Linked DNA regions of Xenopus tropicalis. The protein of the gene in region 4 interacts with the protein of the main gene of each other region in a pairwise test. Links are inferred from orthologs where the notes say so. Each region holds a gene or a part of one and is shown on either strand. Other genes may lie near its edges. The genes, in order: tbc1d22b, txlna, esrrg and deup1.

What was found.
Region 1: the proteins of deup1 (region 4) and tbc1d22b interact in binary tests that used the Homo sapiens proteins (3 or more experiments, as listed by UniProt). The link is inferred for Xenopus tropicalis from reciprocal best matches to the Homo sapiens genes DEUP1 and TBC1D22B.
Region 2: the proteins of deup1 (region 4) and txlna interact in binary tests that used the Homo sapiens proteins (3 or more experiments, as listed by UniProt). The two-hybrid records come from large-scale screens. The link is inferred for Xenopus tropicalis from reciprocal best matches to the Homo sapiens genes DEUP1 and TXLNA.
Region 3: the proteins of deup1 (region 4) and esrrg interact in binary tests that used the Homo sapiens proteins (3 or more experiments, as listed by UniProt). The two-hybrid records come from large-scale screens. The link is inferred for Xenopus tropicalis from reciprocal best matches to the Homo sapiens genes DEUP1 and ESRRG.

What each region holds. Positions count from the first base shown.
Region 1 is NC_030678.2:65,166,613-65,170,939, forward strand, and holds the start of tbc1d22b (TBC1 domain family member 22B), read right to left. Parts: upstream 2,845-4,327; 5' UTR 2,633-2,844; coding exon 2,580-2,632; intron 1,770-2,579; coding exon 1,713-1,769; intron 1,598-1,712; coding exon 1,293-1,597; intron 1-1,292. UniProt on the Homo sapiens protein: May act as a GTPase-activating protein for Rab family protein(s).
Region 2 is NC_030678.2:86,591,332-86,595,553, forward strand, and holds the start of txlna (alpha-taxilin), read left to right. Parts: upstream 1-1,377; 5' UTR 1,378-1,615; intron 1,616-1,994; 5' UTR 1,995-2,003; coding exon 2,004-2,130; intron 2,131-4,120; coding exon 4,121-4,222. UniProt on the Homo sapiens protein: May be involved in intracellular vesicle traffic and potentially in calcium-dependent exocytosis in neuroendocrine cells.
Region 3 is NC_030681.2:12,595,231-12,598,797, reverse strand, and holds the end of esrrg (estrogen-related receptor gamma), read right to left. Parts: intron 509-3,567; coding exon 264-508; 3' UTR 46-263; downstream 1-45. UniProt on the Homo sapiens protein: Orphan receptor that acts as a transcription activator in the absence of bound ligand. Binds specifically to an estrogen response element and activates reporter genes controlled by estrogen response elements.
Region 4 is NC_030678.2:165,843,004-165,846,570, reverse strand, and holds part of deup1 (deuterosome assembly protein 1), read left to right. Parts: intron 1-3,044; coding exon 3,045-3,299; intron 3,300-3,567. UniProt on the Homo sapiens protein: Key structural component of the deuterosome, a structure that promotes de novo centriole amplification in multiciliated cells.

The DNA.
Region 1 (4,327 bases), about 100 Mb from region 4:
GCAGTTAAGAATATGTCATTATATCTGCTGTAAATCTGTACTGAAATATTAATTTTCATGAAGTTGCAGTGTTGGGAAAAACAAAATGAAAATTACCCTGAGATGTTTCAAATGACTTCACATAGTTATCCATTATGTATTTTTAGTATTGTGAGTGGCAGATGAAGTGATACTGATCTAAGCAATAAGAACTGCCTACCCTGACTGTATAAAGTCATTAACAGGATATTTGCAACAGATTTTGTATTTTTAATGAAAATAGGATAGTTACCCGTTACCCATGTTGTGTTCTGCTCTACCCCTGCACTGGGGCACAGCAGAACACAGACATCACTGTATGCCGTATCAGTGTTTCTCCCTGCTTTTTTGCTCTACAAATAAGATATGTGCAGTGTGCATGGGAATTCGTTGATATTTTTTTTCCAAACTATAGTCCGGCCCCCCAACAGTCTGAGGGAACTTGAACTGGCCCCGTTTAAAAAGTTTGAGGACCCCTGAATTAATGTGCGTACTTATTGGGTGGTGTATAAATATCAATTATAATTACTGAACTGTATATATTTCTTTTTTCTCTCTTTCCCTTGAACTTTGAGCACTGGTATTTTATTTTATTATCTGCTGGAAATTAAAGTTCACCCTTACACATACAGCTTATATACATACAAAAGAAACAAAATGTTTGCTTTGACACTGACCGATTAGGTAATCATTTAGATGAATCTTCCTTGATGCATCTTATATGTAATAACTGTTAAGGGCTCTGGCACACGGGGAGATTAGTCGCCCACGACAAATCTCCCTGTTCGCGGGTGACTAATCTCCTCGAATTGCCATCCCACCGACGACAATGTAAGTCGCCGGTGGGATGGCACAAGCTGCGCAGGCGATTTCGGCAAATCGCCGAAGTTGCCTCGCGAGGCATTTTCGATGATTTGCCGAAATCGTGCCGCCGCGTCTGCCATCCCATGCTATCCCATCGGCGACAATGTAAGTCGTCGGTGGGATGGCAGACGCTGCAGCGCAATTTCGGCAAATCATCGAAAATGCCTCGCGTGGAATGGCAACGCGGGGAGATTAGTCGCCCGCAAACGGGTAGATTTGTCGCGAGCGACTAATCTCCCTGTGTGCCAGAGCCCTTAGTAAGGGCTCTCCATCTCAACTTCAGCAATATGTTTTTATATTATCATAAAAAGTATTGGAGTTAAGGTAAAATTTAGCACTATGTAATAAATTGAACCTGTAAAAAATGCTTTGCAACCAAAAAATATACTCCTGACACTATAGTAGCGCACCTGCAGTGACCCTGTGGAGATGATCTTCACTGACAGATTTTGTAACAGAAGGTTGGCAAGGGGACTCCTCCCGTAGCTTGAGGTGGCTCTCTATAACTTGTGCAGCTGTCACTTCAGCAACCCTGGAGTTAAGAGTCTGATAGGGTGAAGCATACAGGACATCTCCTCCTCCATCATCATCATCAGCATCATCATCATCCTCAATATCCCAGGCATCACTAGTATTTCTTGCAAACTCATGAAAACTAGATGCTTTTCTGCTTTTCAAATGAAGTGGTTGTCGCCTTGAACGATCAGAAATATAACTGCCAAAAAATTGTAAATAAGGGTAACAAACAAAAGTTTAAATTGTTGGCATAGATAAGGTATTAATATCCATTATAAAAATATGAACAGAAATTTAGCCAAAACATTGTATACCTTTTATTGAGACGAGGGTCTAAAGGTGGGTGCTGGGCCCCATACACTGGTTGAATACTGAGAAAAGGATAAAGGTATTGACAAAATAAGATCATTGCATATAAAACCGGAATAAAAACAATGAGTAAACAAAGACCCCCAGAAATCCCTATATATCAGCTCCTTACAACTTATAGCTTTCTGTCCTTTTCATAACAAAGATCTCAATTTTTACTTGAATTCCTGCAAATTACATTACACATGATGATCTTAATATAGAATAAATGGCTGTCAAGATTTCATTATCCCACAAAACATAAAAAATGTCTATTGTTGTTGTATATTATTGTGTAATTAAACAATATAAACATACAACGTTTGCAAAGGCGATTTTGACTCTTTACTGTATATATGCACTAAAAGGTATTATGCATTGTGACAAATAGTATGAGACCAAACGGAATTGTGCACAGTCCCTAAGGTGCCAGCATTGATCAAGAAATCCTTGTTCTTCCCTCAAGTTTCCGGCAACAATCCATTGTCAGTAAACTGGGCCTCATTAAAAGGCATACTTAGTCACTACTGTCAAATTAAATAAACTCAAACCCTCACATGTACATATTAACCCCAATAATAATTGGACAAGCCCGCATCTTAGCACGTATATCTTTTAATTAAACATAATGCCATTTTCACAAGGAGACTGTAATTTCCCATTCCTTGATCTTTCCGAATCCACTCCTACTTTCAATAAATCAACTCATATACACAAACACACACTACTCAAATGTTCTGGTCTCTTCGTTCTTCCTACAAGTCAAAGCTGTCCAAGTTTTTCTATGAAACTCCTCAAGCACACTCCCTTTCATGATCGCCTTAAGTTGTTACCTTCCCGGAAGCTTTGTACTCCTTTTCCAGAACTGTCGGTTATTCTCTGACATCCTGCAAGTCCACTGTATTTCGTTTTGTAGGGTGTGCTCACCCGCTCCGGGGATCCGCTTCCACCATAACGGAACCGGGCGGGTAGAGATTCCTAATTGGCGGATTTTACAGTATCATCCAATTGAAGCCAATGAACGTTAGCGATGCTACGAGGCTACGGTGCTCAGGTGACGTTTTTAGCATGGAGCGCTCATAGGAAATCAACCGGAAGTGTTTGGTTTCGCCATCTTAGTACTCTCTGCGCTAGGTTGTAGAATTCATTTTTTTTGCCGTTGCAGCGGAAGAGTGTTTTTTTTTTTCTCTAGATTTGGTTATTATGTAACTTTAATTCAGGCGGTATGTATTAATGTAGTAGAATTGTGTTTTGTAGTTTATGTAAGAAAAAGAGGAGGTGAGAGGACTTTGTATGGCAGATCATTTTAGACCTGTTAACTTGGTGCAAAGTTGATCAGATTTTTTGAGTTTTTTTTATTTTAAATTGGAGAAATCATATATGGTGCATCGTTACAGTTGCCACATTTTCTGGAAAAAATAGCTTTTCCTATTTGTTTGTGTTTATACAATATTTCATACCTCCCAACATTTGAAAAGTAGAAGGAGGGACAAGAATATGTTTTTCATATTTTTCAGCCCATGCTTACTTTATGGCCACACTCCAAAACAGGCCTATTTTACAAAACCACACCTGAAAAGTATAACATACACAAAGTGCATCAGAAGACAGACACTGTGACCCCAATCATTTTATGACATATTGTGGCCCTAAGGATTTAATTACGCACTGTGCCACCTGTATATCATGACAGACTCAGTGAAGTACAAGCATCCCATGCTACATATTGACCCTCAGCATCTCTAATACCCATTTCAAAACAATTCAAAACTCAGAAAATCACCAGAGCTGTATGCAGTCCCATCAGTAGAAAGGACACACAGACACTGGTAGCCAGGGCCCCCTATAACATTGGTAGCCAGGGACCCCCTAAAACATATATGTCAAACACAAGGCCCGGGGGCCAAATCCGGCCCACCTGGCTGTTTTATGTGGCCCTTGGTGAGTGTGTCTGACCATCCAGCCTGATCAATTTCCATTTTCCTCACATAGTAACTAAAACTAAGGGGTATATTTATCATGCTGTGTAAAAAGTGTAGTGAAGCATTTCCAGTAATGTTGCCCAAGGCATCCAATCAGTAATCAGATTTCAACAGTAGCAAAGCTTCTATTGGCTGCTAGGAGCAACATCACCGGTAATGTCTTACTCCACTTTTTACACATTGTGATAAATATACTCCTATCTATCTTACTAAGTATATTAATAAAAAATTTGGCCCGAGACTTAGCCTTTGTTTTAGATTTTGGCCCCCTTATGTGATTGAGTTTGACACCCCTGCCCTAAAACATTGCTAGCCGGCCCAGGGCCCCCTAAAACATTGCTGGTCCTCCCCTATTTTGGTAAGAAAAGTTCTATCCTTATGCCCCAGTCTTGTTAAGCTTGGGGCCTCTGGTTCAATCCCCATATTAAGTACTTAGAAAGGTTTAGCCCTTGCCAATGGTATTTTAGGCAGCAGGTAAAATAATACAGATATTTTATGGGAAGGAAATAAATAAAATAGTGTCAGTGTAAAACATTTCATCATGGGTTTTAAACACAGTTGTGGAAAAACTAATCCTAAATACAGAGCTATATATTTTA
Region 2 (4,222 bases), about 79 Mb from region 4:
CTTGGCCAGCAATAATCATACTTTCATTGCTATTCAGGGGGTATATTGTAAAAACCCTACTCCACTTTTTGTTTTTTCCCCCCACACATTTGCCTTTTATATTATGCTACTCTATCTCAACCCAACATCCACTGTATACCATTCTTCCTTTAATCATTGCAGCCCAATTCTTTTCTTCTGCATAGACCCCCACCTTTACCGTCTGATGTCCCATAACATCCAAAAATTTATTTAGAGCTTTGCCTTCAGTTAATACTAAGGTACCTTAAAAGTAGTATAAATAATGCTGTAATAATTGTAAATGTGATACCATGAAAGTATACTGTGATATGGGAAAGGAGTGCGCCAGCAGTAGTCATGAGGCCCATACTACTAAGCAGGACCCTCCCCTCCAATTATTTGCCCACTGGTCACACAGGGACCCTGCGTGGTAGGCCCCTGCCACCTACCAGCATATTTATTTTATTTTGTGCCCAAATAAAAGAAATATGCCCCTTAGCATATTAGCAGAATTTTTAATTGATTATATTTTTAAAGTTTTTTTCATTTCCATGAGATAAAACTATTACATTTTCATTATAGTTGGGCTTGGCGTGGTTTTGCTTGTGCCTGCAATTGTGTCAGGCGCAACGTCCCTATGTGAGAACAACAATGCTGGAATTCTGAGGGAAAAAAGCTGCATTTTGGAAAAACAGTGAGTTCCACAGTAAAATCGCAGTTAGCAAGGCCGCATTGAAAACAAAATGGGCCACACGTTTTTGAGTGGGTGACCCCCACTAGCAGCCCCATCTTGCTAATGTCTTTGTTGCTAGGGCCACTAGGATTTTATGAAATACTGGGGGTCAATATGTTATTAGTTATGGAAACAATGTTTGAGGTATCATTATTCTTGTGACTGACAAACTAACAATGTTAATAAAAAGAAACGGTATCAAGGGCATATTATTTCAATTTAGAAATGTTAAAAAACTTTCAATAAGCCTTTGCTTTATTTTTATAAATATAACCTGTTTAAAACGAGAAAACTATATGAACAGGGTCAAATCAAGGGTCACAGTTTAATGAATCTTAGTTATATATAACAAACGAGCGCACAAAAAGGTGGTACTCATGCGTACGACTGCGCACAAACAAGGCTTATAGGGAATTGTAGTTTTTACTTTCGCGCCTTTGCTACCGCCCTATACAGTTTCTGTTTCCTTATAATCAACAGCAGCGCCGATAAATCTTGCTTCCGAACGCAGAGGTTTCCGTTAGACCCGCCTCTGAGAGCGCATTGGCCTTTAGGCTTGTTGGAGCTGCGTGTCATTGGCTAAGAAGTGTCCGGCTTGCGGCCTGGATTTGTGCCTGTGCCTGTGGCTTCCGGCAGAGAGTGAGCGTTACCGGAGCGGATGCAAGAGTGAGGTAAATCCGGTTATTAATCGTGTCCTCCGGGAAAAGGAGTCAGCGCAACCTCACTGGCAGGGACAACAACTTTGTGTGAAACAAGTGTACAGTTCAGCGCTTACACAAGGAACAGACCAGAACTACATCATTTGTCATACTGCTGCATCGCTTGAGGTGCAGCTTCCGTGTGTAGAGCGACAAGGACAACATACAAGTTTGCTGACAACAGGTAGCATGTAGTGGCCCTGCATAAATAAAACAATTAAGAAGTATAAAATGTGGGGGGATGCAAATCTTCAGTTTAGGTGTGGAGTGCCCATTATGCAGACTAGTAGTTGCCCCAAAACCTACATTAGTAAGGGTTGTCATGGCATGGGCCGGACCTGGAGTTACTCTGCACATTGAGCTATGCATATCCAATGTGCCAGCTTATGAGTTATCTATTTCTAGGTGGTTAACTACTTGATAAGTTAGTGGTTAATGCTAACAAGGTTCATTGATTGAATTGTTTTATACCTACAAACATACAGGGTTAACTAGATTCTTAAGAAAAAAACGTGAAGTTTCTTGTTTACATGCCATACTTTGCTTCTGTTACCTTTTGTTAGAAGTGAGTCATGAAGGACCAAGAACTGGAGAATGGCACAGCCAAAGGGCCTTCCCCTACCTCATCAAGCCCCTCACTTCCTCCAGCCACAGATGAGAACGTGACTACACCTGGAGTTTGTCACCCTGCTACTGAAGGTTAGTAGTAGCATTTTTTTTATAGTGGGTGTCGGATTTTTTCAGTTCTGCCTTCCAGCATTGAAGATTCAACCTTTGGTCAAGACCTTCTTTAGTTCATTAAAGTTATCAGTCATTTAGACTATTCTCTCAAGCTCCACCCTGTAGCCTGATTTTTAAATAAGTGGTATATGTGTTTACAAAATAATAAAGTAAAAGAAAAGGAAAAGGGGAAACTAAAATGGAGGGAGGTAAAAGGGGAAACGAAAAGGTGCAATAGAAGGGAGAGAAAAGTACTTCACTAACAAATGCTGTTTATATACATGAGGGATACCATTCAACTAAGCATAACTCTTACTAGCCCTTTCCCAGGATAGCCACACCCAAAGAACAGTCACAGCTAGGTTGATGTTGTATGATGACCCATAGAATTCTCCAAGTTAGTAGTGTCCTTTAGATGATTAGTTTCCCAAATAATGGTATTAAAGGAACAGTAACGCCAAAAAATGAAAGGGTATAAAAGTAACTAAAATATAATGTGCTGCTGCCCTGCACTGGTAAAAGTTGTGTGTTTACTTCAGAAAGTCTACTATAATTTATATAAATAAGCTGCTGTGTAGCCATGGAGGCAGCCATTCAAAGGAGAAAAGGCACAGGCACATAGCAGTTAACAGATAAAACACTATTGTATTCTACAGAACTTATCTGTTATCTGCTATGAAACCTCTGCCTTTTCGCCTTTTTTCCAGCTTGAATGGCTGCCCCCGTGGCTACACAGCAGCTTATTATATAAATTATAGTAGTGTTACTGTAGCAAACACACCAGTTTTACCAGTGCAGGGCAACAGTGCATTATATTTTTATTACTTTAAAGCTCTTTCATTTTTTGGTGTTACTGTTCCTTTAAAGGTGTCATGTAGGTTACAGTGTTGTACAGACTGTGATTCTCATTCTTGAACTTTATTCCCATGGTCTAAAAACCTGTTCTACCACCTTGAGGGTATGAGCAAATTGCTATTCATTGCCTTTTCGCCCTGCTGGGCATCCTTTTGTTGTTGTTCCTTTGTTTACAGTTGTTGCCTTCACTTCATACTGGTCTGTGGGTCTCCTCCTTGTCCATCACAGGTGTATCTAATTCACACAACAGCGTTAGGAGATAGACTTAAAAAGTAACTGCATTTTATGATGTGATAGCCCTTGGTCAGCTGTTGCACTGTTCCATCTGTGTTTATATTATACACTACCCTGAGATCAGAGTCACTGTTAACGCCTTAGGGTTGTGACACACTGGAAGATTAGTCATGCGCGACTTATCTCCCCGCAATGCCATGCCACCGGCTAGAATGTAAATCGCCGGTGGGATGGCACTGCGGGGAGATTAGTCGCACCACAATAATGGAGATTTGTTACGGAGCAACTAATCTCCCCTTATGTCACAAACCTTACATGATTCATAAGTTCAGGAACAACTCTGATATGGAATATTACAAAGGCCCATATATTTCCATGTCAGACAGTCAGGTACTTGGCGCGGTCCCAGTGGTCAATCAGCCTGAGCTGATATGGGTCTAAAAGGGCAAGATAGTCAGATCTGACCCACCACACAGTGGGTTCAATAAGCAATTCTGAATTTGTGGCCTGATCTCTTTAGTGTGTACATATTTATGGCCAGGTTAGCGACTTTAACTTTAATAACTTGGAAACTTGCTAGGTGAATTTACAACACAGGTGTAGAATTAACTCCGATGTAGCAACAAGTCCTATCAGGTAGGACTTGTTTTCATTTGTTTCATTGCAGTTAACCTTTCAGAGGTATATAGTGCTTTATTAATATAGCTTACTGCTTCAGTGTAAAACTTCACCTGTATTGTGAATTCCTCTTAATTAATTCAAAATTGGTGTGAATTCTGCTTTACTTTTGGTTATTACTTTTTGGTTATTACTTTACTTGGTTATACTATCAATTTTACCGATTTAAAATCAGCTGATGTGTTGCCTGGTTGTCTTACAGTGGAAGGAGCAGCTGGTAATTCTGTTACTGTATGTGATGTGTCTGAAGAGTTAAGTAGGCAGCTGGAAGATATTCTTAGTACATATTGTGTTGATGACAAGC
Region 3 (3,567 bases), on a different chromosome or scaffold from region 4:
GCAGGGCTGGCTTCCATCTCTTGCAGTTAAAGACTTTTTTTAATTATTATTATTATTATTATTTTATTTCAGCAGCAAAAAAGGAAGAGGAAAAACCTGTATCTTCAGGATACAGACAAAGCTGCTAAAGTCTTGCTGCTAATATCAGCGCAGTCAATTGCTTTGCGTTCAGTAGTAAAGTTTATTTGCCAGAACTTTTTTTTTTTTTTACTTTTCCCTTATTCTACCAATCAGCACCCTGGGGACACCAATGATGCTTTTAGTCAGACCTTGGCCTCGAGCATTTCCAAAAAAAGTTTGTGCATAGGAACTTTTCCTTCTAGTTTAATGTTGTAAAAATGTTGGACGGCCTTGGTAGACGTTTGCCGAAGAAGAGGCAAGGTCATCAATAGCTTGCCGGCCCGACGGGGGTCTTCGATATGCTGCCCAGCTTCGTAATCCTGCAGAGCCTCGTGTAAGACATCTTGAAGCTTCTGGACAGCTTCTATATCTTCTATATGCATGGAGTCTGTAAAATAAATGATAAGTGATTATTACTCAATCAGTTAGTTAAGTCCATACATAAAAAGAACTGACTAGTTTCAACAGTTTCAAATACAGGTATAGGGCCCATTATCTAGAATGCTCAGGACCAAGGGTATTCCGGATAAGGGTTTTTTCCATAATTTGGATCTCCATACCTTTAGTCTACTAAAAAATCAATAAAACATTAATTAAACCCAATAGGATTGTTTTACATCCAATAAGGATTATTTATATCTTAGTTGGGATCAAGTACAGGTACTGTTTTATTATTACAGAGAAAAGGGAATCATTTAACCATTAAATAAACCCAATAGGGCTGTTCTGCCCCAATAAGGGGTAATTATATCTTAGTTGGGATCAAGTACAGGTACTGTTTTATTATTACAGAGAAAAGGGGATCATTTAACCATGAAATAAACCCAATAGGGCTGTTCTGCCCCAATAAGGGGTAATTATATCTTAGTTGGGATCAAGTACAGGTACTGTTTTATTATTACAGAGAAAAGGGGATCATTTAACCATGAAATAAACCCAATAGGGCTGTTCTGCCCCAATAAGGGGTAATTATATCTTAGTTGGGATCAAGTACAGGTACTGTTTTATTATTACAGAGAAAAGGGAATCATTTAACCATTAAATAAACCCAATAGGGCTGTTCTGCCCCCAATAAGGGGTAATTATATCTTAGTTGGGATCAAGTACAGGTACTGTTTTATTATTACAGAGAAAAGGGAATCATTTAACCATTAAATAAACCCAATAGGGCTGTTCTGCCCCCAATAAGGGGTAATTATATCTTAGTTGGGATCAAGTACAGGTACTGTTTTATTATTACAGAGAAAAGGGAATCATTTAACCATTAAATAAACCCAATAGGGATGTTCTGCCCCCAATAAGGGGTAATTATATCTTAGTTGGGATCAAGTACAGGTACTGTTTTATTATTACAGAGAAAAGGGAATCATTTAACCATTAAATAAACCCAATAGGGATGTTCTGCCCCCAATAAGGGGTAATTATATCTTAGTTGGGATCAAGTACAGGTACTGTTTTATTATTACAGAGAAAAAGGAAATCAATTTGAAAAAAATTTAATTATTTGATTAAAATGGAGTCTATGGGAGACGGACTTTCTGTAATTTGGAGCTTTCTGGATAGCGGGTTTCCGGATAAGGGATCCCATACCTGTAATACAATTGCTTTTTTAACCATGTCCCACCATCACCTCCTATTTATAAAGATCATTACCACATATTTCCACTGTAACAAATACAATGGCATATTCGTTGGCGTCACTGATGCCGGGCAAAGCTTGTGCTTCAATGAAATGGATGAATCTCAAGTTTAAAGCGCTTCAGAATGTGGCAAGAGTTCCTTTTTATTGACCATTTGGTCAATAAAAATGAACTCTTGCAGGGGCAATAACTAAAGAGAGCAGACTAGGGGTAGGCAGCAGAGGTTCCTGCCTGGCGCCCCCTAATCATTGCACCCTAGGCAGCTGCCTCTTCTGCCTACCCCTAATTCCGGCCCTGGCCAATGGCGAAATGCAGAAATTCGCTGCGAATCCATGCCTGCTGAAAAAATTCGCTCATCGCTAAATTTCATTCCTATTTGATCTTTCAACCCTAAATAGATTATGCAGTTTACTAGTGATCCCTACGGGGTTCATCAGCCACCATTACCTCTGCAGTGATTCCATCAAGCACCCCAAAGTCAATTGGGTCATTGGGATGTTTGACCAAACTGCATAGTATACTCCAAAAGTTCATTGACCAATATCCCAAAATATGTAGGTGTGAGAATGTCAACAACTTCTAAATATGTTTGGGCACACTCCAAGGAAACAAAGCTACATATTTTATACAGAAATCCATATGATAACCCAGGGATCCCCAACCTTTCTTACTTGTGAGCCACAGTCAAATGTAATAAAAAGGGGAGCAACACAAGCACCATAAAAGTTCATGGAGGAGCCAAATAAGGGCTGTGATTGGCTATTAGGCAGCCTCTATGCACCCTATCAGCTTACAGGGGCTTTATTTGGTAGGAAATCTTGTTTTTATTCAACCAAAACTTGCCCCCAAGTCAGGAATTCAAAAATAACTCCCTGGTTTGGGGGCACTGAGATCAACATCCAAGGGGTTGGCCCCTGAGCCACTGCTTGGGGATCACTGTGATAAACTATACAAATACACAATAAACTACACTGTAACAAAGCACTGTAAAAAACTGATTCTATCAAAGACCATCGACAATGCTATAGATGAACTGTTAATCACAAAATCAATTAAAAACAATATTTCTATAAACCGTCACACATTTCCATCTCTCTGGGGGGCAATTTGGGCAGAAGGTCTCCGCTCTGTAGGGTTGCACCAAATCACAAGTCGTCATCCACAAGTCGGCAAAAGCAATCTGGTTTTTCATTTTTCAGCGCGGCTGAGCCCAGCCTGAGATTGATCGCCACATATGGCCCCAGAAAACAAACTGTCAATACCTTGAATGCTCCAGAATTTGAACAAATAGCCGTCTGCCCATTCAAGCCACTCATTGCATCCCATTTAACAGATTTTATTGACAGTTTCCTTCTTGTAATTAAAGGGAAAATGACTGGCCAGCCACCAAGATAAAGTTCAAAGAAAGGGTCAAAACAAAAGCAGATGGAGGGGCACGGTGTGACTGTCAATGGCACATAGCATGGGAGCGTGTTATTGACATACAGGTATCTAATGATCAGCATGTTATTAAGCACTGATCTATCATCAACTATATGCAAATGCTAAAAGGGACTTAAGACCACAGGAAAAGCATTAAGGTGACACAAAGGGAAAACAAAGCCCAAACGATTTTTACTTATCTGATCCCGGTCACTGCTTCAGCACATTTATGCCCTCATGATGGCTAAACTCTTCTTAACCCTTAACGAAAAACCCTTTCTGGTTTTTTGATCACATATGTTATAGAATAGGCATGGGGCAGTAAAAATGTTTTTTTTTATTGATAGATAAAGGTCTATTTGGCTGTCGGCAATGAAACGGTTAC
Region 4 (3,567 bases):
GTAACTTTGTAAACAACCCCTTTAAGATTGCTCTTTGAAAAAAGTCACCACCCTCACGCTGGGTCAGATCGGGATGATCAGATTGTTTGGCCCATGGGTCATCAACTGGACCTCTTGTCTATGGTGGCTCATCTGGTGAAGGGTGTCATGAAGTGAAAGACCCACATGAAGTGAAAGACCCAAATCTCCTTCTCATACTTGTCCCGGGAGGGGAGCCCCTCTGGGGTTCATTTATAAAGCCTGGGCAAATTCACACCTGGGCAGTATCCCATGGCAACCAACAAAAAACTTTTCAACCAGCAGGTGCCTGAAAAAAGCTAATCACTGATTGGTTGCTATGGCCAGGTGTAAATTTGCCCAGTGTTAGTGCAGTTCTGAAGGAATAGGAAGAATTACTGAAACAACTGTTGCCATGAAACACAATATATTTTTTTTTACATCACTTGGAAAAACAAGCTCTGAAGTGCTATAAAAAATAATTGGTATTTTATAAATCGTAGAGCCATGAACCCCCTAGGTAAGCGATTATGACTGATGGGGTCTGGCTATTAGGTTTGCAAGGAAGGAGTTTGTATTTATGGAAATTGCGCCAGTTGGTTGCCCATAGCAACCATTGACATCTTTGCTTTTTTTAAAAAACTTATTTACCAGAATAAATGCTTTGGATGTTGCTCTTACCCGATCACCTTTACAGATGCTGATATCAAATAATATAGCAGTCAGTAGGCACGATCACAATTGTTTTGCCCACCGCATTTTAGTATCACAAACGGGCAGGTCCTGAGTTCAGTACTCTGGGGCAGTGACTGATGCGAATAATGTATAATCTCTATAAAGCGCTGTGGAAATGGGTCGGCGCTATATAAATAACAGGAAATAATAAACAGGCTGAAACTGGCCCCTATGAAAACTGCCTGATTTGCCCATGTTTGCACTTTCAGTCAGTTCTCATAAAGGGTAAGTAAAAGGCAATGTGATTCTGAGTAAGAGATAGACAGCACTGTGATATAGACATTACTGCAGTGCAGTCCATTTCTTCCATGTAGCTGACCAGTTATCCAATAAAACACTTTCCAAGATACCTTTTGGAACAGGCCTGCAGTTGGTCAGCATTACTTTAGTATAAATATAATGAGAAATAAATGTAAAGATTAGTTTACATGCATTCCCCTAAACAAACATTATTGCCCAACTCACTGCGCTGATCCTAGTCACAATGAACAGATCATGCTGGCAGCCATTGAACTGGAGTTGGCATACCTAGACATATGCATTTTTCAACCATTAAAATTCTCCACCCAACACATATGTGAGCAGTCTTTGGCTAGAATAAGAAATTATTTTGTGCAGCCGGTTGCTTATTCAATCAGAAGCGACCAAAATGGCCCATTCTGCCTTTTCATATATTGATGTCTGGGCAGATGGATGCAAAATAATGGTGGTAGTGACCCAAAAGGCCATGTACTTTCCGTTCAGCAGAATAGAGACTGGAATAGTAATTGGAGAAAAATAAGTAATAATAATTACAATAATAATACAATTGTAGCCTCACAGAGCAATAGGTTTTTGGCTGCTGGGGTCAGTGACCCCCCATTTGAAAGTTGGAAAGAGTCAGAAGACGGCAAATAATTTAAAAAACTGTAAACAATAAATAAAATGCAAGTTGCTTAGAATTTGTCATTCTCTTCTCTTTGGCATCATCGTACTGTTGGATCAAGGCCGCGGGCACAAGTGGCACACATGCCAGGCAGATTGATAAAGTAGCTGGAGTCTCAGAGCACTAACGGATATAGAAAGTAGGGATGCACCGAATCCTAATTGGCATAAGCTAATTACGTTTCTGAAGGTTTAAAATTTTCAACTTCCATGTTTGCTTGACAAAAAGGTCACGTGACTTTTCGTATTCAGTTCGGCCAAAAGCGTGGATTCGGCCGAATCTAAATCCTGATGAAAAAAGCTGAATCCCGAACCAAATCCTGGATTCGGTGCATCCCTAATAAAAATGACTTCCATCTGTAGATATCTTGGCCAAAATATTTTTTACAGAAATCATTGTCTAAAATCTTGACATCTTGGTTGGGAACTTTGTATAATGTGCTGATGCCATGGCAGCATCAGATGTTTAGGAACTTAGTGAACAGCACTATTAGAATGTGCTCGATTGGTGGATTCGAAAGTACCAGATATTAGATTAGGCAAGAATGAGATTGAGTCAAATAGACATCAATGGACGGTAATGAGAGTCAAGTTAAGGTGTTTGACCACCGCTGTTCTCTACCCGATGGCAGTGATGCCACGTGTCCCATCAGCCTTTGGGGAGAAGGCTTGTTGGCTCTTCTAGATGCTCTTGGAAGCCCAGATTGATGGATAGATTGAGATTTGGGGCAAAACATGCATTTGCTGTACTAGATGTTCTTGAATCTGTTAATGATTCTTGTTATGAGTGATGGGTTCTGAGCCCAAGCTTTGCCCCTCAGAAGGGTACTGAGTAAGAAAACAGTCCAAAAACCTCTACCTTTAGGTTTATTTGTATTGTTTGATATATTTGTAGATAAATTCAATCCATAAATCAGTCAAAGCTTGTAGGTATTTGTCTTCCTGTTACATGGAACAAAGCAAAGCTCAAGAGACAGAGCTTAGCTGAAGGAAAGAACATTGGACCCTACAGACAGACCAAGGGAAGTTCTAAGTTTGCCTCTGTAATACAATTTTTGCTGTTCTGTGCACATAATAGGATTTATTTTGTACTTCATCCCATTTTTGCTCACGCTGGATCGCTTCCAGCTTAAAATCAGATTTTTATTCAAGAACTTAGATATCCAGCAGAACATTTCCATTAGAGGATTTTTGTGATTTAATGGAAACCTTTCCTTTGGCTCCCCCACGTTCTATATTTACTCCCCGGCTTCTCATCACATCTAATAATTGTGGTGGCGCAGTTACCAGAAGCCGTTCTTCCATTTCATTTGTCTAATTGATTCTCAGTATGTCGTTACAATTGCAGGGTCACAAAATAATTCTGATTTTATGTGTCGTCCTGGTAGAAGGAGTCGCTGAGCTATCAGGAGCAGCTTTCCAGCCAGAAGCAGCTGCAGAGTGAAGCAATTACCAATAACCAGTCTGAAATGCGACGACTGCGGTGCCTGCTTGATACTTCCCAGGAGACCATCAGGAGTGACGGGGTCATCATAGAAAACCTCAAGTCTACTGTAAAAGAAATCACATTAAGCAGGGACTCGCTGAAAGATGAAAATCAGCAGCTCTTACAGGAACTAAGGAGATGTCAAAAGCAGTCCCAGGTAATGGCCGGATAGATGGCGGCACGCAGCTATCATCTGTTGATCTGTCAAGCGAAATAATAACGTGTCATTTACCCAGCTATCAGGTTACCCGAACAGTTCCGTGTAAATATGGAAATTATTATGAAGAGTTGCTGCCGCAGTTATATCCGCTATCATGTAGGAAGATGCAGAGCTTTAATGGCCACCCTCTAGTACAGGGATCCCCAACCTTTGTTTACCCATGAGCAACATGTTAATGAATAAAAAGCTGGGGAGCAACACAAGC